3 linked regions of the Alligator mississippiensis genome follow. The protein of the gene in region 3 purifies or fractionates together with the protein of the main gene of each other region. This does not show direct contact. Links are inferred from orthologs where the notes say so. Each region holds a gene or a part of one and is shown on either strand. Other genes may lie near its edges.

Region 1 (7,338 bases), on a different chromosome or scaffold from region 3:
CCTACGAATGCATTCTAGTATAAAGAAGAAAGCACCAGTTATAATTATTCCTACAAAGAATCATAGAAAGTAGGGCTGGAAGGGATGTCAAGAGGTCATCTAGTCCAGCCTCCTGCTCAACACAGGATCATCCCCATCCAAACCATCCCATACAACTGCAGGTCTACTAACCTATTCCCAAAACTACACAGATTAACCCTGTCACACAAAACTACAAGGCACATTGTCCCAAAACCCCAAAAGGAACACACTGGGAGAAAAAAATCCAGCTGTCACATGCTTGTACTTTGTTCTTGGTACTGAGCACCGGTGGCTTTATAGAGGACCTTCTCAAACTTTCTACTCCCCAACTGCATGACTACAATGAGCACAGCACAGCATGCGTCTGTTATGCTGCTTCTCTGGGCATTATCTGAATGGATTTCTAACCCACCTGCCTCCTTTCAGACCTGACAAGCAAGACTGGGCAAGTAATACTTTAACTCAGAGGTTCCCAATCTGTGGTACGCATACCACCAGTGGTGCGCAGACAACCTGTCAGTGTCAAGGAAAATAAAAGGAGTGTTGTAAAATATATGCTGAGCCAGTGACAGTCGGTCTCAGATGAGAAATGAGAAAAGCGCAACTCAAATCTTTGAGAAGGGAGAGTTTCAGGTCTTGTTTGTGGTGGAGAGCTGACGCTCCATAGCAGGGAATCATGCAACACAGTATCTATCCCCAGACAGAAGACGTACTCGCTCATCAGCCCTCATGGTGCAAACACTTCAGATCCTGTGTGCGCAGATTATTTGCTGGATTGGGGGTTATAGCTTGTATAGGAAACAAAGAATCTCTTTTACCTTTTTCCTGCGTTCGGAATTTGGGTCGTCGATATTGTGAAAGCTATTCTCATCAATTTCTCCCAGCCAAACGTGTTCGCCAATCCCAACCAAACAGTTTGGGTTTCCTCTGCAGTTTCTTCTACAAAAAACCAAACACACTCATGAAAACAAAGACCGCTGGTTCAGATCATGCGAAAACAAAAACAAACCCCCCAAACCAGGAAGCAACAGCAAACTGTATTATTTTAATTAGCAAAACACAGGAAAACAGAACACAGGACTAAAAACATGCAGGCGTAACTTGAGAGTCTTTTTGTTGGGAGCAAACGCTTTTTACCCTCTAGCCTATAGGTTTGGTCTACTGTTGAGTAGGCTGGAGGCAGCATTTAGAGCTGTTTACCTCTGCACGCTTCATCAACCACAGGTATGTCACTAGAGAGGAGTAGAAACCCTGCTTTCATCACTAAAAAAAAAATTAAAAATGTTCATTTTAACAAATGACCTTATGTTTTTTAAAGGGATTTCTACAGCGTAAGCCCCCTGCATGTCTGACAGAAATATACTGAAGCTGGATGTTGAACCGGTTCGATTCCCAGAGGCAGGCTTTCATCACAAGGGAAAGGTTCATTTAGTTTTACAAACAACTTATGCTTTTAAACGGATGTCTACGGAGAGCACCCCTACCTGTCTGACATGGGAGTAAGTTAAGCTGGATCTTGAACAGGATCAATTCTCAGAGGCAGCCTTTCACCACGTAAGGAACAGTCGCTTTATTTTAAGAGGATTTCTATCGGTAGCACCCCTCGTAGGGGTACTGACACCGGATCTTGAACCGGTTCAATTCCTAGAGGCAGCTTTAATCCCAACAGAAATTTTCATTTTGTTTTACAAACCGTGTCAGTTTTTAAAGGGATTTCTACAGCAAACGTCCCTTGCAGGTCTGGCAGAAACGGACGGAGGCTGGATCCTGAACCGGTTCGATTCCCAGGGGCAATTTTCATCGCAGGAGAAACTTTTGTTCCGTCTTATAAACATTACGAGTTTTAAAAGAGGATTTCTACAGACGGCATCCCCCACGTGACGGGCAGAAACGTATTGCAGCTGGATCGCGAACCGGTTCGATTCCCAGAGGCAGCCTTTCGTCACAAGGGAAAGTTTCATTTTGTTTTACAAACCACGCGAGTGTTTCAGGGATTTCTACAGCGAAACAGACGGAGGCTCGATCCCCAGAGGCAGACTTGCCACAAAGGCGGTGCGTTTTTAGAGGGGTTTCTGCAGACAGCACCCCCATCTCCCCGGCAGAAACAACCGCGGCTGGATCTTGAACCAAGTCGATCCCCAGACGCGGCTTTCGCCCCAGGAGAAACGTCCGTCCCGTCTTACAAACCAGGCGCGAGCCTGAAAAAGGATTTGTGTCGCCAGCGCCGCGGCAGGAACGTCCCGACGCCGGATCTCGAACCGGCTTTCGGCGAGCGAGACGTTTCCGATTCGTTTCACGCGCCGGGACTGCTTCCGCGATGGGCGCGAACGGACCGCGGCCGGTTCGATTCCCGCGGGCCGGGCCGCCCGTCCTCGCGGGGGGAGCGGGTGTCTCGTCTCCTCGACGCTGCGAAGGGGATTTCCACAGGCAACGCCGCCGTGTCCGGCCGGACCAGACGGAGGCCGGCTCCTGACCCGGCTCGGGTCCCGGCGGCAGCTTTCGTCGCAGGAGAAACTTCAGGCAAGTTTAAAAAGCGATTTCTACGCGCAGCGACCCGATTCGACTCCCGGAGGCAGCGCGTCCCCCCAAAAGGTGGGTTTTTGGGGGTTTTTTAAATGGATTTCTACAGAAACACCCCGACGCCGGCCGCGAGCCGCTCCGCTCACCACAGGGGCACTTTTGCTCCGTGTTGACAAACGAGGGAAGTTTTAAAAGGGATTTAAACATTTTAGCGGGATATAAACAGCCCTCCCCACCCCCCTCGCACACGTCGCACCCCCTGCGGACACGGCGCGCAGCCCCCCGGGCCGGGCCCGCACCTGCAGACGCCACGGCGGCAGGGCTCCAGGCCGATGCGGTAGGCCGCCTCCACGTGCTCCTGCGCCACCTCCTCGGGCGGCACCGTCTCGGTCCAGCGCCAGGCCGCCTTCTCCAGCTGCAGCCGCGGCGCCATGGCGGGCCCGGGCCTGCTCGCCCACTGCGCCTGCGCCCTCGCGGGCGGCGCCGTCGGCGCCTGACGTCAGCGCGCCGCGCCGCGGTGCGCGGGGTGTGACGCACGTAGCGCGCGCCGCCACGCAGGGTGGAGGGGCGGGGCTGAGTGAGGCACCGCCCTCCTCCTCCTCCTCCTCCCCCCTCCCGCTCGGGAGGCGAAGGGGCGGGGCCACCACCTATATAAAGGGGCAGAGGGGGGCGGGGCTTGCTGAGCCTAGTGAGGGGGTTCTTGTGGGGGGTCTGGGCTGTGCCCCCTGGGCTCCCCGTGCAAACCTCTGACCCCTGGCACGGCAGAGCCTTTGAGGGGCTCTGACCCAGTCCAAGGGTCGTGGCCCCCCCGCGGTCCCCCCACACAAGCGTGGCCTCGGGGGCCACGGCAAAGCCACAGCCGCCATCCTCGTGCCCCACCAACGGGCCGTGGCACCGGTCCCTCGCCGCGCGGCGGCACCTGCCCCACTGCCACGGGATGCCCCGTGCGCCCATCCGGTGTCTCTAGTCGAGCCCCCGCTGCCCGCGTGACGGGGTTGGTGCCAGGGGCCGCAACCCCTGTCAGTGCCGCGGGGGCGAAGCGACGCGAGCAATGGCAGGGAGCTCTTTTGCACGCGCACCCACACGTGCACACTTTAGATGAAGCACAACTCTTGGGACAGATCACTTCCCACTCCCGCCTCCATAAGTAGAGCCAAGGTTTGTCTGTTATGCGCTGAGCTGATCGAAGCCACGCAGACATTTTGCCGGTGTCGAGGCGCTTTGCGAGTTTTGGCTGGTACGAAAGACACCTCCCCGCCCTTTGTATTTGCACCAGAGACGTCAGTGTGGCGTGCTTTATGAGCACATCTCGGACTGCCGTTGAACGAGCTGACCCGCGTGCAGACAGCGCTGTGACACCATACGCGCGTCGCTACAGGGCGGCTGCTTTAAACCAAGGTGTGCTTGCTACGGACGTGCAAAATCTCCAGCGTGTTAAAATCAACGCGCTGTTTCGAGTTTTAAGCGTACAGCTTTCTGATCTCCGTCGTGTATCAGGATTTGCCGTTCATTCTGCATTGCGTGCGCACAGCGATGCAGCGTCTGTTTTAGTCACCCTGCTATTGATCCATAATTTTAAAAACTGCCTCCAGTTTGGTTATTTCTTAGGCGCATTCTGCAAGAAGACTTCAGGGAGCTGCATTAGGCCATAATAAATAAAAATTACCCATTAAAAATGGTCTTTTCCGGTGCTGCTCTGTGGTTAATTGTCCTAGATCATCGAAGTGGATCTCAGGGCAGTTTGAACTGGCTCAGATTGCTGTATCTGAAGACTCCCCTGGGTGACACGTCGGTAATGTTTTGCAATGACTGAGTTTGAGGAAAAGATGCGGGTGTCTAGCCCGAGTTGGTAGGGCAGGGCTTTTGCTTCTGGCCCAGGAAGCAAAGGGCTTCACAACACATTCCTTGGAGAGAGCGAGCGCTAGGCAAGGATTGCTTTTTAACCTGTCTGTCGGAGCAGGCTCTGGAACCAGATGCCTTTACAACAGAGGTGGTAAAGGCAAGTTGCCAAGTCTGGATTTGCAAGAAAGAAGCAATTACTTGTCCAAAGAAGATGTCAGCCTGGAAAGCTTATTTCAACAAAAACTGGAAGCCAGCAAATTGACTGTAGCATCCATAAATGTCATTCTTAGAAGGCCTGACTATGTTAGTCACCTGCTGAGCCATAGCCAAACATGACTACCAAGGGATACGCAGAGAAAATTCAAGCTATTTAGCCCAGGGACATTATCATCTCATGTGAGGCACTGGGTGTGTGATCCACCAGGTCACTCGTTTCATGTTTACCCACGTTTAACCATTTGGGTTTTTAACACACATTGATTTAAATTGTTTTTTCCGTGCCGAGGTATGTTGTTTTTCAAATTAAAGTCGGTGCCCCCCGCCCCAGTTAAAACAACCCAGATCTTTGCTCTTTTTGGTAGGTGTTTGGAGATAAAAAACATTCTCCATTATGCCAGCTGGGCACACAGCTCGGACGTCCCAGAGACAGCAAGTTGTTGCATTCGAGATTAGAAAGAAATGACTGGAGCCAAGTGTCTGGTGGCTATCAGGTGCAGGGTCCATGCTAGCATATGCATGCTGTTTTCCAGTGAACCATCGTCCCAATTCAGGGGAGCTTTAACTCAGTCTGGAGCACTCACAGGCTATTTCAAAGTCATCCTCCGGTGGGGAATTTGTGCCCTAATTATTGCGCAGACTGCTACTGGAAGAAGGGAGGCGAATGGGCCCAAGCAATGGAGGGGGGAGAAGAGGAGGGGAAAGTGGGATGAGGCAGCAAAGACATGGTCATGCCAAAAGGTCATCCCAGACCGAACAACCTGTGGTTGAGACGTGCTCCGTTCTGTGGCCAGCACCCCACATGGCTGGCATCGCAGCTGCCTTTCCCTCTCCATCCTGCATCCGTAGGGGAAGCCTCTGGCACCCTTTTGGAGCAGGGTTTGAACTCATGCCTCTGCAGCTTTGGCAAGATGCCTTAACAGCTCTGCCAATGCAGCCCGGCGAAGAGATGTGCAGGGGCCAAAACCTGTGACAGCAGCAAATGGCTCGCCTGCTGCAAAGCGGTCTCTCCCCCGTCTCGGCAGCCACTCCGATGGACACAAACCCCTCGTGTTTCTTGACTTCCCGTCCTCTGCTTTGTATTCAGCCCGGTGCTTTGGCGTGTGCTGGCCAGGTGCCTTAGGAGCTTGCTGCATGGGGGACTGCAGTGGTTTTCATCCGTTCCCAATCAAACCCAACCCTCTCGTTGTTGGCCTGGAGCTCACAGTGCTTGGCCTCGTGCCTCTCTGGGTTAAAGCTCTGGTACTTGTCTGCCCCGCAGCTGTGCCCTCCATACCTCCTCCTCGCTGCCCGGATCTGGGCCGTGCCGGGATGCTGTCACTAGCCTTTTAGCCTTGTCGTGGATGCAAGTCCTGGGCAGCACATTGCATTGTCCTCCCCCCCCCAACCCCTTCTTCCATTGCTCCATCAAACTCCTGGAGTTTCCTTGGCAACCCCCTAACACAAATCCTGACCGTAAAAAAGCAGGATGAAGCAAGGACAAAGGGCAAGCTCTGGGAGTCCTTGTGCCCAGACAGCAGCAAGAAAAAAAAGGCCTCTTCCCTTTAATCAACACCCAGGGCTGCTGCCTTTTGCTGTCCCCTCTGTTCCCATGGCAGGCCACGCTAAAGGAGCCCCCAGCCTGGTTTGCTCACGGGAAGCCGGGAGGCCGCCGCGCTCCTCAGTCTCCCAGCTGTTGCCATCCCAGACGGCGCGTCCTGCTCTTGCTCCGGACTTCGGGATCTGCGCCGGTGGAAAGCGATGGCGAAGAGCAGCCCGAGGCACTGCTTGCGCCTGCTGTCCGGGTGGCTGGTGCTGTTCAGCTGTGCGGTGGCGGAGGTCTCATCCATCGAGACAGGTACCGCGGGCTTTCCAGGACGCTTCCTTTGCTCTCTGCGTGGGGGCTAGAGTTCAAAACCTGTAGGTTGTTTCCACCAGAGGTTTCCTGGACTTTGAGGGTACTTTGAGGGTATTTTTCCAGCACTCTTCATTCATACGGGTGTCTAAAGAGGGTGAATAGGATATGGACTGAATGGAGAAGCTACTGCTTTGCTGCACCAAAAGGAGCATGCTTCACACGAGCAAAGAGGAGACCACATAGCTATGGGTGGCAGTGGTCATACGTACCGGCCTCGCTGTGTGCCAGCAGTGGTTTTCCAGCTCAGGATTTGCTCTAGGCCCATGCTTTTCTGCTTGTGCCTTCTCTGCCCCCAAATGCATACAAGTGAAACCAAGGCTCAGGGGGAGTGTGATAGTGGGGGGCTCATGGGGGGCATTGGTCCATCAGCTCCCGTGCTGAGGCTGTTGCAATGGCCGAGATGGGGGGAAATAAAAGACAGGTGACTCTGATCTTTGTTCCTGCACAAAGCCAGAAGGCAGGGCCAGGCTGGGTCTGTCCCAGCACTGGATGGTGACCCCCGTGGGCTCTTCCTCCACAGTGAGCCTGGTGGATTTCTGCGGCCAGACGCTCCAGGACAACGGCATGATTGTCACCTCTCACCGGGACTCGCGGCGCTATTACTTCGTGGCTGTGGGCACCGACTGCCACCTGGTCATGCAGGCCGCGGCCCCCCGCGACAAGGTCCAGTTCCAGTTCCGGTTCTTCCTGGTGTACAGCCTGCTGCGCCTGCCCCTGCCCGGCGGCCCTGCACCCAGCACCACCGCTACCCTGCCACCCCTGGGCAGCCCCAGGCCACCGCAGACCCCGTCGGGGGGCGACCGGGAGCCGCCCGACCCCTGCCACGCCGGCTCCTACGTGCA
Region 2 (7,506 bases), on a different chromosome or scaffold from region 3:
CTGGTAGTTCATTTAAGAGGGGTATGGTTACATACAAGCGTTACTTCTGGGCTGCACAAAGGGCCTTTTTTGCCAGTCACATTTGAGACCAACTCCATCATTGAGAGGGTCAAATAATTTCCAGTTTCCAGGCACAGCAAAGTTATAATCTGCCAAGGGCATTTCTATACCAAGTTACGTAAAACCCTAGGACGCAGTGTCTTCTCAACTGCTGGTCCTAAGCGAGGGATAAGAAAGTTTTGATCTCTGGTATTGGATCAGTGCCTGCAGAAGCTTAGCGAACATAACACCACGTGTATTTGTGCTACGTGAAGGGTTTTTGACCATGACAGTTAACCCTAGAAGCATAATACCAGGTTAATACAGTTTTTTGTGCATGAGTGCTAAAGTTAAGAAATCCAATGTCTATACACTTTTTAGCAGTTCTCTTCTAGATGAGGGAATTGCTTGCAAAAGAAGCAGCAAGTGGCTACTGAACCAGTTCTTAAATCAGCCCCTAACTCCCTAACAGCATAGAAAATGCGTACCTTACCCTGATACTTCAAATAGGATCAGTCCTCAAAGCTATAACTGACTAGCTGTTTCTTTCTGGAATTGGTCCAAGCCTTACTATATTAAGTCTCAGACCTTAGACAAGTATAATGTTCAATGCCAGTCGAGTATGAAATGAGCATGTCTGATATTCTATCATTTGTATTTAATATCAGACCTTTCTTCTGCCCTAGTCAAGGCTGTTGAAAACAATTCCAGCCAAAGAATCCATAATAGTTTTAGTTGGAAAAGTCATACTTAATATTTTAACATGATTTGGAATTTCAGTCAGTTACATTAATTAAAACGCATCTCAAACATTGTGCGCATGTTCAGCTTCTCCACAGAAAGTCTCGTTACTTAAATTAAATCAAAGATTAAGTATGGCAGGCTGAGAAACTGATGTGCATATTCACAAGACAGCATCTCTTGTCATGAGATCCCAGACCCATTTCAGTTTAATTGGCTTCCCAACTTCTCTTCAACTTCCCCACCTGCCATGTCACTGAAAAACATTCAAAAAGGCTTGAGTGATGGCATTTGAAAGTTCAGCCGTTAATTTCATAAATGTTTCCTAACTCTTCCCATGGGCCATCATGTGTCAAATTCAGCCATTCCAAGTTACTAAAGTTATGAGCCAAGCCCTCGAACAATTCGTAGCTACAATACAAGGCACCTGCCCTCAGTTTCTTGCTTTTCCCATGTACAGTATGGCACAATACAATGTGCAAGAGAGCACAGGCAAGCACAATTTACACCCCAAAGCTGCTCCACATGCTATATATGCCTAGCAACCTGAAGTGCAACAGCAATTCTAAAAGGATCCTGGTTTACCCTTTAGTCCGGACAATGCTCCTGAAGCACAAGAGGGGACAAAGATCTGACATCATAAATCTCTTAAAACATGTATGTGTTTTATAAACAGTCCTTTTAAAGCTTAAAAGGACTTTAAGCCATTTACTTACTTCCACTAAGAAATAGCCTGTGGACATTATAGGTTAAGTGTTAACAGATTTTTTTAAATATGTGCAAGTCCAACTTTGGGGCTTTACCAACTTGGACCATCTCCACCTGAACAGCCACTGAAGGCAACAAGAACTGGCAGATCATTGCACAAAATACTCCTTTTGCTCCTGTTGAGTTAGCTGTCTTTGGGGCTGCCTAGAGCAAAGCAAGATCCACACGCAAAACTCCTTGCGATGCACTTTATGTGAAGGAACCTACAAGAGATTTCCAGTCGGTTTGTATTTGTGCAGCCAGCTTCATCCCGACAGAAACGCATCTGCCCCGTGTTCTCCTACGTGGCTTACATCTTCCTGCTTCTGTATTGGTTACATCCAGTCCTAATGTAAACTCACCTACCCAAAGCTTACACAGAGGAGACAGGCGTGTAACCCACGAACGCTAATATTTAATTCCACAGGTTTGAAATGTATAAATTAAATGAGGAAAAAAAAAAAAAATGACTTCAACATTCACGTTTGAAAAAAAGGAGCAAAAAAAAAAAAAAAAAATGCAGCTGAGCAACCAGAGCTCAGTTCCTTTGGGGGAAAAAAAGGTATCTACCATGCATGCTTACGTCCTGCGCGGTATTTTGGAAGTGGTTTACGAAGTCTAAATTTGTGGGAGATGGAGCAAGACCCCCCGATACGTGCACGTGCAGATAGTTCGGTAACCACTCAAAAGAAAAGCTTAAAAGACATCAGATCCTGCCTAATTCCCCCCCCCCCCCGCAGACATCCTATTGCCCATCTTCGTCCCCGCCTAGGGCAGGGGGCCGGACCCCACCATCTCGCGAGGGCCCTTCCAGCCCCCCGCAGCCACGGCTGTTTTGCCACGAACTTTTGTAAGGCAGCACGCTTGCGAGACGTCACGAAGGAGAATTGCCACCGTGCTGGGTGGTGGGACACAACAAACAAACAAAAAAACCAACCCAGGGAGGTTTCGAACCAGCGATCCCAGCGAGTCTGGTTCAACCCGCTCCTGCCCGAAATCCGTTTGTAGGGAAGGTTTTTTTGGGGGGAAAAAATATATATATATATATATGTATATAGATTAATTATATGGATAGCTGCACAGAGAGGTTGTCGCTATAGGTACGTGGGTGTGCAGGCAGGTGGGTGGGTAGTTAGACGGGGGGAGGTAGGTAGGTGTGCCGGTCGGTAAGTAGGCGGGTGTCCTCGTGCGGAGCCGGGCCCGGCTCTTCCCCGCCCAAGGCCCCTCGTGCGCGGCCGCCGCCGCCATCTCTTTCATTCTTGGGGCGGGAAGAGGCGGACGTGGGAGCGGGACTCGCGCCCCTCCCCCCCCCGCTCCCTCCCTCCCCACGCGCGAGGACAAAGCTGGGCCGCGACCCCTCCCCCCGCCCGCCCCACCCCCGCGCGTGAGGGGAACGCGCCCCTCCCCCCCCTCCCGGGGCACCAACCGCCGGCGGCAGCAGGGCCGGGCGGCGGCGCTGACCTGCGAGCGGAGCGGGGCCGGCAGCGGGAGGCGTCGCTTCAGCACCGGGCGACGAGAAGCACCTCACGCAACGGCGTGCTCCGGCACCGGCTGCTCCCTATATAGCCGCGGCGCAGCCTAGCCCCACGGCGGCGCCCACAGCCAATGGGAGGTCGGCGACTTGGCCCACTCGGAAGCTGGTTGGCTGGCGAGTGGGCAAAGAGGCGGGAAGGGGGTTGAGCGGCAGGCGAGCCGCCCTACGGAGCGGCGGCGCTGTTGGAGCGGCCGGGCGCGCGGAGCAGCCAGTAGGAAGCCAGAGGGAAGCCGTGGAGGTGGGATAAGGCTGGATGGATTGGCCGCCCGGCCAATAGGGCGACGCTCCCATCGCCATTAAGGCGCAAGGGTCAGTCAGGACGGGTTGCCGAGTGCGGTTGAGCCGTAGCGATCAGCCCGTGGGCCTTCTGAGGGAGACCCCGTGTGGAGGCAGGGGCGGCAACCCTGGCGCGGCTCAGCCAATGAGCGCGCGCGCCTGCCCGTGATCGATAGGCCGCGGGCTGCGGCGTCTTAAAGGGGCCGCGGCTCTGCCTGCTCAGAGCGCCCCCTACTGGAGGGGAGGCTGCACGGCTGCGCGCTGTCCCAGCCCCACGCGCGACCCGCAGCACACTTACCCCACGCGTGATTTTCCCCGCCCCATTAATTTTTCCCCATGCTGGTTTTCCCAACCCGGGATTTCCCCCCACCCACCCACTCACTCATGAATTCCCCCTAATGCGTACAAGACCCAGCCCCATCTCCCTGCAGGGCTGCTGCAGGCCCCCCACGCCCGGCCCAACACGCACCTTCCAGCCTGCAGAGCCTCGGCGGGCACCCACGGCCCCTCCGCGACCACCCCCATGGCCCAGCACGTGGCTGCCATCACTTCTCCGCTACAAAGCGGCAACCAAACAGATGCAAAGCCAAGTTCCCCCCGCCTAAAAACGTCCCCAGTCCAGGGTGGAGCGCTGCACCCCGGCCCCAGGAGCAGCACGACGCGGGGTCTCACCTCTCTGGCCATGGGGATCGCAGAGCTTCCCCGGGCACCTTCCGCCGGTGGCATCCACCTGCTCCTAGGAGCTCCTCCAAAAAGGCCAAGTCTTCCTTCCCCGTCCACGCGCATTACCCCGTCCCCACCCAGGCACCCTCCAGAGAGGGGGTCATATCAGACCCCATAGCAAGGCCTCGTCCCGAGCCAACACACGGGTAGAAACCGTCGTGCAAACCAGCGGTCATCGCTGGACCGCCGGCGGCAAGCAGAGATGCTACTCCCCAAGCAGCTTTTAGCCTAGGAGCGTTGCTGGACTAATTAGCTCGAAGCAGTGGTAATTACCCAGGGCGTTGCCACATGCTACCCAGGTTTGGGACAGCAGGAATCAAAGGCCACGGGAGGACAAGTCATGGAAACCGCCTCCCCCATGCTCTCAGGCAGGGATTCACAAGGATGGGGCTGGCCTTATGCCATCCGTGGCATGAATACCCTCCCTTTCTGCACCCCCCCCCCCCTTGCTATTTATATACTGAGCTGCATTGCGAGCCGCCAGCTCATAAATCAGAGGCACAGGCCCCTGCTGAGTTTAATAGGAGGCAAGTGACCGCACAGGACAGCCACGTAACAGAGCCCCCCTCTCTCCGCCGTGCAGGGGGACCTCGGTCACCCGTCAGAGCGCAGAGATCCCTGCTCCCAAGTCACCTCTCCCTTGCAAAAGAGCCGGATCAGTGCCTCCTATTAGAGCAGTGACCAGAGGCTGCGGCAAAACAGCATCCAGCCTGACCCCTGTGTTAAGGAGACTTGGTGTTGTCTTCCAGGTGGGATGCGCTGCTGATGCCCCCAGGGAGAAAGCAAGTTTGGGAGGGGGCACCTATTAGAAATGGGTATTTTTCCAGGTTTGTGGAACAGCTTTGCTTGCTGTAGGCAGCAGAGCGTGAGATATCTGGTGATTTTTCCACCTGAGATACGGGAGAAAGGGAAGTTTGAGCCAGGCATGAAGTAGACAGCTGCTGCCTGTGACTTCCCCCTCCGTGCAGCCCTGCCGACATATTTCCACCCTGACCTACTGCACTCCTTTGATCCCTGCTCCAGGCCCCCCGCACCGCTCTGCCGACGCTCCTCACTCCAGTCCTGCAGTGACCCCGCTCTTCCCAGCCTCGGCTCCATCCTTCCTGGGATCTCTGCACCCCCACGGGAAACACCTCTCTCCCCCGCACACCTGGGACCCAGCTCCCACACGCTCTTCCCCTGCTCCGCTTCTCCAGGGGGATAAGCAAACACAGGGGCCAAAAGCAGACTGCTTCTCCCCACCAAGCAGAGACCGCAAGGGAGTCCCTACAAAGACTGGGACACGGACCCTTCACATGGGGCATCGACAAGACTGTCACCCCACACAACACCCCTATAATCTCTTAAATCTCATGAGCCGAAGCAACCAAACAAAGCCCAGCCAATGCCTCCCAGCTAGCCTAACGCAACCAGCTCCAGCCTTATCTTCACAGCCATTTCCCTTTCCCACTCCCCCATCAACCTTTGTATCCCACACTGATATTAGCCCTTTAATCATGCTATGCAGGGCAGCCTGTGCTAAACTGAATCCCTCACAGCTGCCAAGGATCCACATCAAACCAGCTGCAAAGTTTCTGAATCACCAGCCTTTCAAACCTCTTTGGCTCACATGGCTGCCTTGACCCTCCCCAATTCACCCCCCAACACTCAAATGAGACTTTATTTTCCCCAGCAGACTTTAGCTAGGAAAAATTCAACCCCCCCCCCAAACCCAATCAAATTCCTAGTAATTATTAGGCACACTTGACATCAGCTTTAATCCATTTCCTAATTAAGAGTGGAAATCTTTTGTTATTTCTTTAAAAGAAAAAAAAATCCCTTACCTTTCTTCCAAAATTTTACCAGCTCTGGCTCATTACCCCCATGGGGAAGGGAGGAAAAATATGTAAGTGGGTGAGGCCCTGCAGCGCTATCAGGTTATCCGAGGTAAGTTCCTCCAGCCAAGATGAAACCTAAGAACCACACGCCACCCCCCACAACCTGCTAATGAAATATCTTCCATCCCAGGGAGCGGGCTCACTTATAGTGTAGATTAGACTTGCTTTCAGCAGGGTGAAATAAAGGGCAGTTTGGTCTAAATCCTGCCTCGTCGGATGTGGCTCATGAACCTAGGATGGTTCTTGCCACCCGCGTGACTGCAAAAAACACTAGTTGTATTGCTTCTTGCTGCACGGTGGGCATGTCTTTCCCGGAAGCACCAGTAACGCAACACCCCCGCACCCACTAGCAACGTTAACTACTGCACGGTTGGCTTTTCCTCCTCTTTCGAACCAGAGAGTGCAGCGATTCCCTCTGAGGGCGTGCGCTGCTGTGGTTCTGAGCAGCGAGCGCTCTCGCGTGCAACCCCCGTGCTGTCCTGACACTTGCTGCGGTCTTTCCCCTCGGTTTGCCCTACTTCTGTGGGGGCTTTCCTACTTTTCCTGAAACCCCGTGTTCCTGGGAGCTGCAGTATTGCCACCTCCCCAGTGTCAAAAAGCAAGAGACAGACTCTTAAAAATCAAGAGATTTGGAATGTAAATCATGAGATGCTGGTTTTGAAGTGTGTGTGTGTGTGTGTATGTGGGGGAGGTGTTATTTGTGAAGGTTTGGGTGGGGTTTGGAGCCAACGGGGGGGGGGGGGGTGTCCCTGTACACCTTGGCAGGATGTGGGGTGCTGTAGGGCAGGAGTGAAAGCAGCAGCGGGGCTGTGGCTTGGGAGTGAGGGACACACACACACATACACACATGGCTCTGTTGCATGGGGAGGCTGTGGTTTTGGGAGCAAGGGTCCTTGATCTGCCCCCCTTTCTTTCCCCCCCATAGACTTACCAGCTTGGCGCTCTCTACTCGGACCAGAAGAAAACAAACCCCTGAGATTTTTTCTCTCTAATCAGGAGATCGTGAGTCACAGTTAATATGACTTGGAAAACAGGAGTCTTGAGATTTTTTTCATGAGAGTTGGCATTACGGGAGCTACGACCCGGGGGGACAGGCACCGAGGAATCGCCGCCGTCAGAACGGCCTAGAGGGACAGTTGCGTGGGCAGGGGACACATACTGCGCAGGTCCGGGGTACGGGACAGCCCGGTTCCTCAACCATTGCACTTACACCCATTCCACTTCACCAGGCCAGTTCGGAGCCGTCCAAAGGGGGATGCACTTTTTATGTAATGAAGGTGGCTGAGCCTGGCCTGGCGGGAGAGAGGGGCAGAGATGCACCACATGTAGAGGAAGGCTGCAGAAGGGAACTCCTCCCTGATTCACCCCCCTCCCAACACACGCACCCACCACAGCTCCATTTCGGGAGGAAGGGATGCTTCTCTGTGGACCCAGCCTGTGCTTTTGCCCAGGCTATTGGCATTGTGGGCTGCCACATGGGTCTGGGAAGGAATTGGTTTCCTTTCTGCTGCTATTCAGAGGTGGGGATTGCGACTGAGCTGTGCCAATGCTCCCGCTGGCACTCAAACC
Region 3 (7,254 bases):
CCCACAGCACTGCAAAGCCATAGCTTGCGGTTTGGGAAACAGGCTGCCAGGAGCAGTGGAGCAAGCTAGAAGAAGCCACTGTAACGTTTACCTCCTAGGACCTGGCTTAAGCAATCTCTGGGTTCAGCCTGGACAGCAGCACAGGCCCCTGCCTAGGGAGCAGCGCACCACGTGGCAGCTTTGATGCGGGATAAGACTGGTGGGACCCAGCTGATCCCGCTGCAGGCTAGATAACATCACAAGGAAGTTTTTCCCATGCTTTGCAGGACACAGAAATGGTGCGTCCACTTCTTTCCCTGAGACGCCAGCCCATACACTGAGCCTCTGTGACCAAGACCTTCCCTATGTCCTGCCCACACTGTTTTTTCTTCATTTTCATCCCATTGCTTTTAATTACATCCCCTTAAAACATCCCCTCCCCTGCGTGCTTTCACACCAAGGGAACACCTGCTCTTGCCTGGGCTGTGATACACCCTTGGGCAACTTCAGTGTCCTTCATAGTTGAGCATGGATTATTGCTGTCAGAGCAGAGCCCTGCGGGCCAGGGGAACCACCGGGCAGGGAGGTTCTGGGTACTGCCGCATCACCAGGGAGCGGGTGTATCTAGAGGAAACTGCACGGCATCAGTTTATACACACAATCCCCTCTCTGGAGGGATGAGATGCATGGGTCTGGCTGTAGCCACAGCCCTCAGCAGCGAAGGGAACCAGCAGGGAGCAGCCACAATGGGAAACTCAACTATGGCAAAATACCAGGCTTAATCCCCCAAGAAATCGCCCCAGTGGGCACCACAGACCCAACCCCTGTTCACAAGCTTCCCAGGCCGGTCTCCAAAGGCATGGTGTCACCTGCTGTTTAAAAGAACAGACCAGCCCAGAGATACAGAAGCTGCTCAGTATTAGGAGACAGCCTCAAACGTAACTACCTAGCTTCACAGTCTCTCTGGGCTCCCCCGCTACCCAGCACACACCAAACAACTGTACTGAGTGGTGAACGCTGGGATACGGTTTTACTACTGCAGAACCGGCACCAGAGAAATGTCCCATGGACTTCAACGCACGATCACAGCCCATTTGGGCCATGAAGTAGCAAACCCGAGACCAAACTACAGCTAGGAGTTCATAGAAGGAAAGCAACCTTTTCACATCCCAACATCCCACAGCCACAGAGAAGCGTTTTGGAAAAAAAAAAAAAAAATCAGAAAAACAACAGCTATAATTAATGAGGAAACAGGACATCTTCCCTACAGCACTTAACCCACTGAGTCACTAAGCCAGGGCTGGCAATGCTGCCAGGATTAAATCACTTTTCATTAGCAAACACCATCAGTGTGATCACTCCAGGCACCTTCCATCACACCCCCACCTCCTCATAGCCCCCTTCCTCCGCAAATCTTAAGGCATTTTCTAAACTTTTGCAAAATACCTGTGCCTGCTTCTCTCCCAGAGACCTGAGCAACAATACTGCAACCCCAAAGCCTACGCCAACCACGCAGTTCCTCCAGTACAAGATATCACCCACATGAATTCTTGCCTGTGCACTACAGAGATTTTATAGATGGTGAAACCGAAGTACAGAAATATAAATCAATTTTTATAGCCGCATAGCAACCAGGAGAAAGCTAATGCTCAGCATGCCACGTTACCCATAATCCCACTCTGCTTCAACAACACAGGATCTTTCTTCCTTCACCTGAAGTCGGGGATCCCTACGGCTGTGCTGATCCCAGCCCCAGTGTGAAACACCACGTTGGAAGAACTCCTTATCAGGTCGGCCAGCTCATGCACTTTCCTCTCCAGCTCCTCCGGAGGATCAAAGATCTGATGGAAAGAAATGGAGACAGAAATAAGTTTCCCACATGGCCCCAAGCGCAGGAAGAGACGGAGAACAAGATTACATTGCTGCTGATAGCTAAAGTGCATCAGCACTTAACAGGGTAGAAAGAGCATTATCTTAGAGAGGACACTTCTCCCCGCTCAGGACATCCAGATCTTCCTTTCCAATCTGCTTCAGAGAGGCAAGGAGCTGCTCTGGATTTCAGCAAGTAATTAACTGGCTGAGAAATACTTTGCCCTCTCACTGCTGCTCTCTTCAAAGCAGGTAACAATAGATACCCTCCCTCCTTGCCTCCGTTTTACAGGTGGGAAAACTGAGACTTTACTAAGTGACATGACTTGGCCACAGCAGAACCCGAAAAAGATCTCGGGGCCCCTGAGGCCCAGCCCTGCCCCTCTCAGGCAGCTAATAAATGCCGCCGGCCTGCAGGAAGGATGGCGCGAGACACAGGCCAAGCCTCCAGACCAAAGCCCAATGCTCGCTGCCCGCGGGCGACGCTGCCGAGCAACACGTCCAAGGCAACGTTAGTCTCCATGGGGCTGGACGGACACCAGCCGTTCCCTGGGGTGACAGGCCCTGCTCCACCGAAGGGGACAGACGTCGCGGTGCAGACCCCCTGCCCGCCGGGCTGACAACCTGATGGCACGTGGCCGCTGGTCCCCAACCCACGCCTGCCATGTTGCGTGTGGGGGACACACACACCCCAGCTACAGGTGAGCGCCGGCCCCTGCCCAGGCAGGAAGCAGAGCCCAGGCCTCCCCAATTCCTGGGGCAAGGAGCGCTCTGCAGCGCCCGGGCCGGGGGCACCCCCGCGGCAGGCTGGGCTAGCGGGGCTTGCACCCTGGCACCCCACTGCCCCCCCGGCGCCTGCCAGAGTGGGGGCGCGGGGAGCACAGGTGCCTTGTCCCCTGGGCAGGGGATGGAGGGGGCCAAACCCCAGGAGGGGGTGATGGGGAGCGGGACTAGACCCAAGGGGGCGGGGCCAGAGCCCAGAAGGTGGGGTGGGGGCGGGGCCAGGCCCTAGGATGGGGGGGAAGGGCGGTGGGGGAGGGGAGGGGATGGGGCAGCAGCCCCCCCCAGGGGCTGAAGGTGGGGGAGGGGCGAGGGGTGCTGCACCGCCGGCCACTCACCTCGGGGAGGCCGCACTTGCCCTTGTCCGAGTAGGGGGACAGCCCGGCCGCGTAATTCACCGACATGGCCCCGCAGCCGCCGCCCGCCTCCGCGCCGCTGTCAATAAAGTTCTCATTGTTGTCAATTCCTGCCGGCCGGGCGGAAGCGCGCCGGGCGTCGCGAAGCCGCCGTGCCTCACTCCGCATGCGCACGAGCCCCGGGCGGTGGTGGCGGTGCCGCCATGTTGGTTCCTGGCAGAAAGGTCTCTGCCCGTCCTTGGCAGAGCTGGGGCAGGCGCCTGGACCTGGCAGGGGGAGAGATGTGCCTGGCTCTGGGGGAGGACAGCGGGTCCTCCTTGCAGCAGCACTGCAGGACCTGCTGCTCTGACAGGGGATCCCCCCCATCCCTGGACTCCAGGAGCTGGCGCTTAAAGAAATACCACGTATCCCACAGTTGTCAGGGAGCAGAGCCAGGCTGCCTAAGGGGCGCAGCAGGTGCCCTGTAGCTTCTCCAGGCCTGTTGATTGTGAAAGTTGGGAGCCCCGTTAGAAAGGGAGAGCGCAACAGCTGACCGCTTGGGACGACTGAAAAGAAAACAGGGAAGGGAGCGCGGTCACGGGTGCAAAACAAGGGATCCAAGGGGACACGGAGCAGAGCGCGCCCACTAGCGCCCGCTGCCCCCTGAATGAGTCGGGGGAGCCTGCGGGCACCCGCCAGTGACACTGCCTGGAGAAGTGAGAGGACAGCCCCACATCACCAGGCTCCCTGAGCCTGAGCCTCTGTCCTGGTCTGGCAGATGGCCAGCTTGGCCGGAGGCTGACTGGGAGGTCCTGGGACTTGGTGGGGCCACGGATGGGCTGCGGTGCCTGGTGCTTTCCTGCTTGGGGAACACCCTATGTGCAGCCTCACCTGTCCTAAAGTGGAAGCCCTGCGATGCCTAAGCAGGGGGCAAGGACAAAGCCGACCCAATGGTACCTTTCAGTACTGGATTTTGCAAGCCATTTCCAGCACTCCTCAGCAGGCCTCCTGCCACTGCGAAGTCTAGGCTTGTGCATTGTTCTTTCTCTCCCTTCATAGTCTTTGCAAGATATTTTACAGTCCACTGTTTGGCTGGGAGCATGTCTACTTGCTCAAATACTCTGTGCCCAGCCTGCTATAGATGCTAGAGAAAAAAAATCCATTAATTAGCAAGCACAGGTCCTGATCTGCTGAGCTCCGGGTGGGTTAAAGGTTCCAGTCATCTCGGCACAGAAAAGAGGATTGTGCGATCCCTGGACCTGGTGCTCAATGTGCCTGGTTTTCCCACCTCAGTTCCTGACCAACCAAGTGACCTTGAGGCAGTCGCTTCCCATGTCTGTGACTCTCTGTTCCTATCTGTAATGTGGAAAAAAACAATACCTACCTCCCAGGGATTGTGGGAGGGTCCCTCAGCTCTAGCAAAGCCTTAGAGAAAAGAAAAGGAATCACGGGGCAACATCTTGTCATGTTTGCACGCTGAAGATCAAGGGAAACCTTTAGCTCTACAAACCAAGTCCCCAGGCTGCTCCATGGGGGATGTCCCTGCGAGGTGTGGAGCCTGTTGCAGGATCAGGGCCTAGAGGCCATCCATGAACAGGACCCTCCATTCCCTTGCTTGTTGCTGCTGCTTTCCAGGTTCTTTAACGGTATGGTATGCATGGAGAATAATTACCCTGGCTTCCCAGAGCTAGTGGGGAGCCTGAGGGGTATGGAGGGCCTGATGATGAGAAGTGCTCTGCACCTGTGACATCTGGGCTACTCAGGACTATGGAGATGCTCAGAGATGGAGACACAGCTCCAGAGTAATGTAGTGCCCTGGACACCGTGCAGCGCTGAGCTGCAGCCCGCTGTAGCAAGGTAATCGTACCTGTAGCAGGTAAGTAACCCAATTCCCAGTGCAGCGATGTCCCTCCCCTGGTTTCTCCTCATTCGCAGTGACACAGCCTCACCCGGGCTGGGCCACCTCTGATACGGTGAGCTCCCATCAATCAAGACAGAAGTAAGGAGACTCTTCAGAGTTTGTTCTGCCCTTGGCACTGAACGTGTAACAGAGGAGTGAGAACCTGCCCGAGCTGCACCTGACGGTATCAACAAGGTAGGGATGGGGCTTGGAGGGAAGATGCGAGACTGGCCCAAAGTCCGGTAGCCCTGGAGCTGCAGGTTTCACACATCTGCGATCAGGACTGAGGGACTCTTGCTGCAGCTGAACAAGTCAGGGCTAATATATGAAGTCATTCATTGCTCTGTACAAGTGCAGGGACTCCCAGGGGCTCTGACATCCTGGGAGACTGCTCCAGAGCCAATGCAAACACCTAGATTGGCAAGGAGGCAGGTCCCTAGGCAAAAGTAATGGCCCTGACAGCTGACAGCAATGCCAACGGGCTGGGTTCCTGTCCGGTGCTAGCATGGTACAGCACGGCATAGAGGGCTGTGCAGCAGGGCAGGGCTGGGGGGGGGTTAGACGAGAGGATGGAGGATGAGCACTCCTGGTTTCTGTCTCTTTGCCATGGGGGACCCTTAATTTGCCTGTGCCTCAGGCCCTGGGGAGCCCACACTGAAGTCATGTGGAGGCATATGCCTCCTCGGGAGACCCAGCCCTCCGGCGTTCTCAAGCAGCGGGGCAGGAAGAGCCTGCGGGTGGAGAAGGGGTGCATGCATTTGAAATAAACAGCTGCCCAAAAGACTGGTACCTTTGGGGGGGCTGTCGAGCTACCTTGAGGCTGGAGGGTGGGGGCATGGAGGCCTGCTGGCAGCAAACACAAGGCTACAGGGCTAGACCGGGGGGGGGCCAATACTCCTCAAAGGGGTCCAGGGAGGAATTTTGCCCAGAGGCACGAGGTGACAAGGGAGCAGCCCCCCACACACCCATCCAGCCTCCGCCTCTTCCTCGGGGCGTTGTGGACACGAGGGTCAGGAATTCGTGGGCAGGGAGGTCTTGGGCGTTGGATGGGGTCTGCAGAGGTGGAGGCTGCAGAAGTAAGGCCAACCAGACTGCCAGCCTCTCCCCTTCCCACAGAGGCACAGGCAGGAAGCGCCCTGTCTCGGGACTCTGCGCTCTCTCCCGGGCACATGAGCACACCCAATAGCCAGGGCAAATGCCACAGACTCCACCTGGCCCCTCCATCTATATTCCAGTTGTGGCATCACCAGCCTCTAGCACCCCTGTTGTGGTGGGGGCTGTGTTAGCACAGGCACAGAGAGGAGGTCTCCTCCCTCCATGGCTGGGACACGCCTGGGCACCAAGGTGAGCTCCCAGGTGCTGAGGAGGTGCTGGTCAGAGACCGGCAGCTTGGAGGGACCTTTAACATGAGTTATCCTGCAGGGTCAGGGCCAAAATGAAGAGTCAGCCAAAATTTTTGCCTGGGGCTGAGTGTCCTGTCTGTACCTACAGAGCCTTGAGCCCCTACAGTGCCCATCGTCCATGCCCTGCAGCCGGCTGGTGGAGGGCCGTGGTCTGATGCCACATGTAATGCCATTCCAGTCCTCTCCCCTCTCGAACATGGTGAGCACCCCGAATCAGGACCCTCAGGGCAGGAGGCACAGGAAGATATTGAGACTGATTGTGAGACTGCCGATGAAGGGCCAGAGTTTTGCTAGGATCTTACAGCTGCTTTGTATCCCCCGTTTAGATCTACCCCCTGCAGCCCAGAGCACGGGGACAAAGCCACCATGAAGAGCCTGCGGGCCAGGTTTAAGAAGAGTGAAGTGAGTATCTGAGGGCGGTCGGTCGGGGGCACCATGATGAACCCATGAACCAGTGCTCGGCTGCTGGAGTGGGTGTTTTTTTCCACTGACAAGTGAGAGAGAGGTCCCGAGTGCTTGTGCTCATTTAAAATCCCATGGTGCCTGTTCCAAGTACGGGAACTGCTCCTCCAACACCCCCTCTCCTCCCCTCCCACAGGCAGATAATGCAATGGCTAGCCCCTAACACTTCCCCCTCCATCCCCTATGAGTCACTGGGAGATTCCTGCACGCCATCAGCTGGGAAGGGCTTGAAGGAGGAAACCCCCCCCGAAACGTTTCCAGGGTGGGGGAGTTGTAATGAAGTTTGACTACTCCAGGCATCGGCAGCTGGTTCGTCTTGCAGTCGCCAGGCTCCATAGCAGCCTCGGCAATCCCTTGTCTTCTGCCTTTAGGCCACTGCCCCTTCCTGTCACCTTGGGGTGCATGTACCTGTTACCGCTCTGGCTGCTCCAAGCATTCCTCCCTCAAGTTCCTCCCTCGCTTCTCTCTCCTGGAAGATCCTCTCCCATCTCCCTGCCTCTGTGAAGCAGCAGACCCTCCTGGCCCC

What was found.
Region 1: the proteins of SIRT6 (region 3) and USP48 purify together in Homo sapiens (affinity purification with mass spectrometry; 3 studies listed by BioGRID, with this or other methods). This does not show direct contact. The link is inferred for Alligator mississippiensis from reciprocal best matches to the Homo sapiens genes SIRT6 and USP48.
Region 2: the proteins of SIRT6 (region 3) and G3BP1 purify together in Homo sapiens (affinity purification with mass spectrometry; 3 studies listed by BioGRID and IntAct, with this or other methods). This does not show direct contact. The link is inferred for Alligator mississippiensis from reciprocal best matches to the Homo sapiens genes SIRT6 and G3BP1.

The regions. Positions count from the first base shown.
Region 1 is NC_081836.1:2,276,452-2,283,789, reverse strand, and holds the start of USP48 (ubiquitin carboxyl-terminal hydrolase 48), read right to left. Parts: upstream 3,014-7,338; 5' UTR 2,975-3,013; coding exon 2,841-2,974; intron 961-2,840; coding exon 840-960; intron 15-839; coding exon 1-14. Other genes in the region: LDLRAD2 (low-density lipoprotein receptor class A domain-containing protein 2), read left to right, coding at 6,340-6,436, 7,017-7,338.
Region 2 is NC_081832.1:75,769,863-75,777,368, reverse strand, and holds the start of G3BP1 (ras GTPase-activating protein-binding protein 1), read right to left. Parts: upstream 3,097-7,506; 5' UTR 2,989-3,096; intron 1-2,988. UniProt on the Homo sapiens protein: Protein involved in various processes, such as stress granule formation and innate immunity. Plays an essential role in stress granule formation.
Region 3 is NC_081839.1:5,436,121-5,443,374, reverse strand, and holds the start of SIRT6 (NAD-dependent protein deacylase sirtuin-6), read right to left. Parts: upstream 3,085-7,254; 5' UTR 3,033-3,084; coding exon 2,967-3,032; intron 1,821-2,966; coding exon 1,693-1,820; intron 1-1,692. UniProt on the Homo sapiens protein: NAD-dependent protein deacetylase, deacylase and mono-ADP-ribosyltransferase that plays an essential role in DNA damage repair, telomere maintenance, metabolic homeostasis, inflammation, tumorigenesis and aging.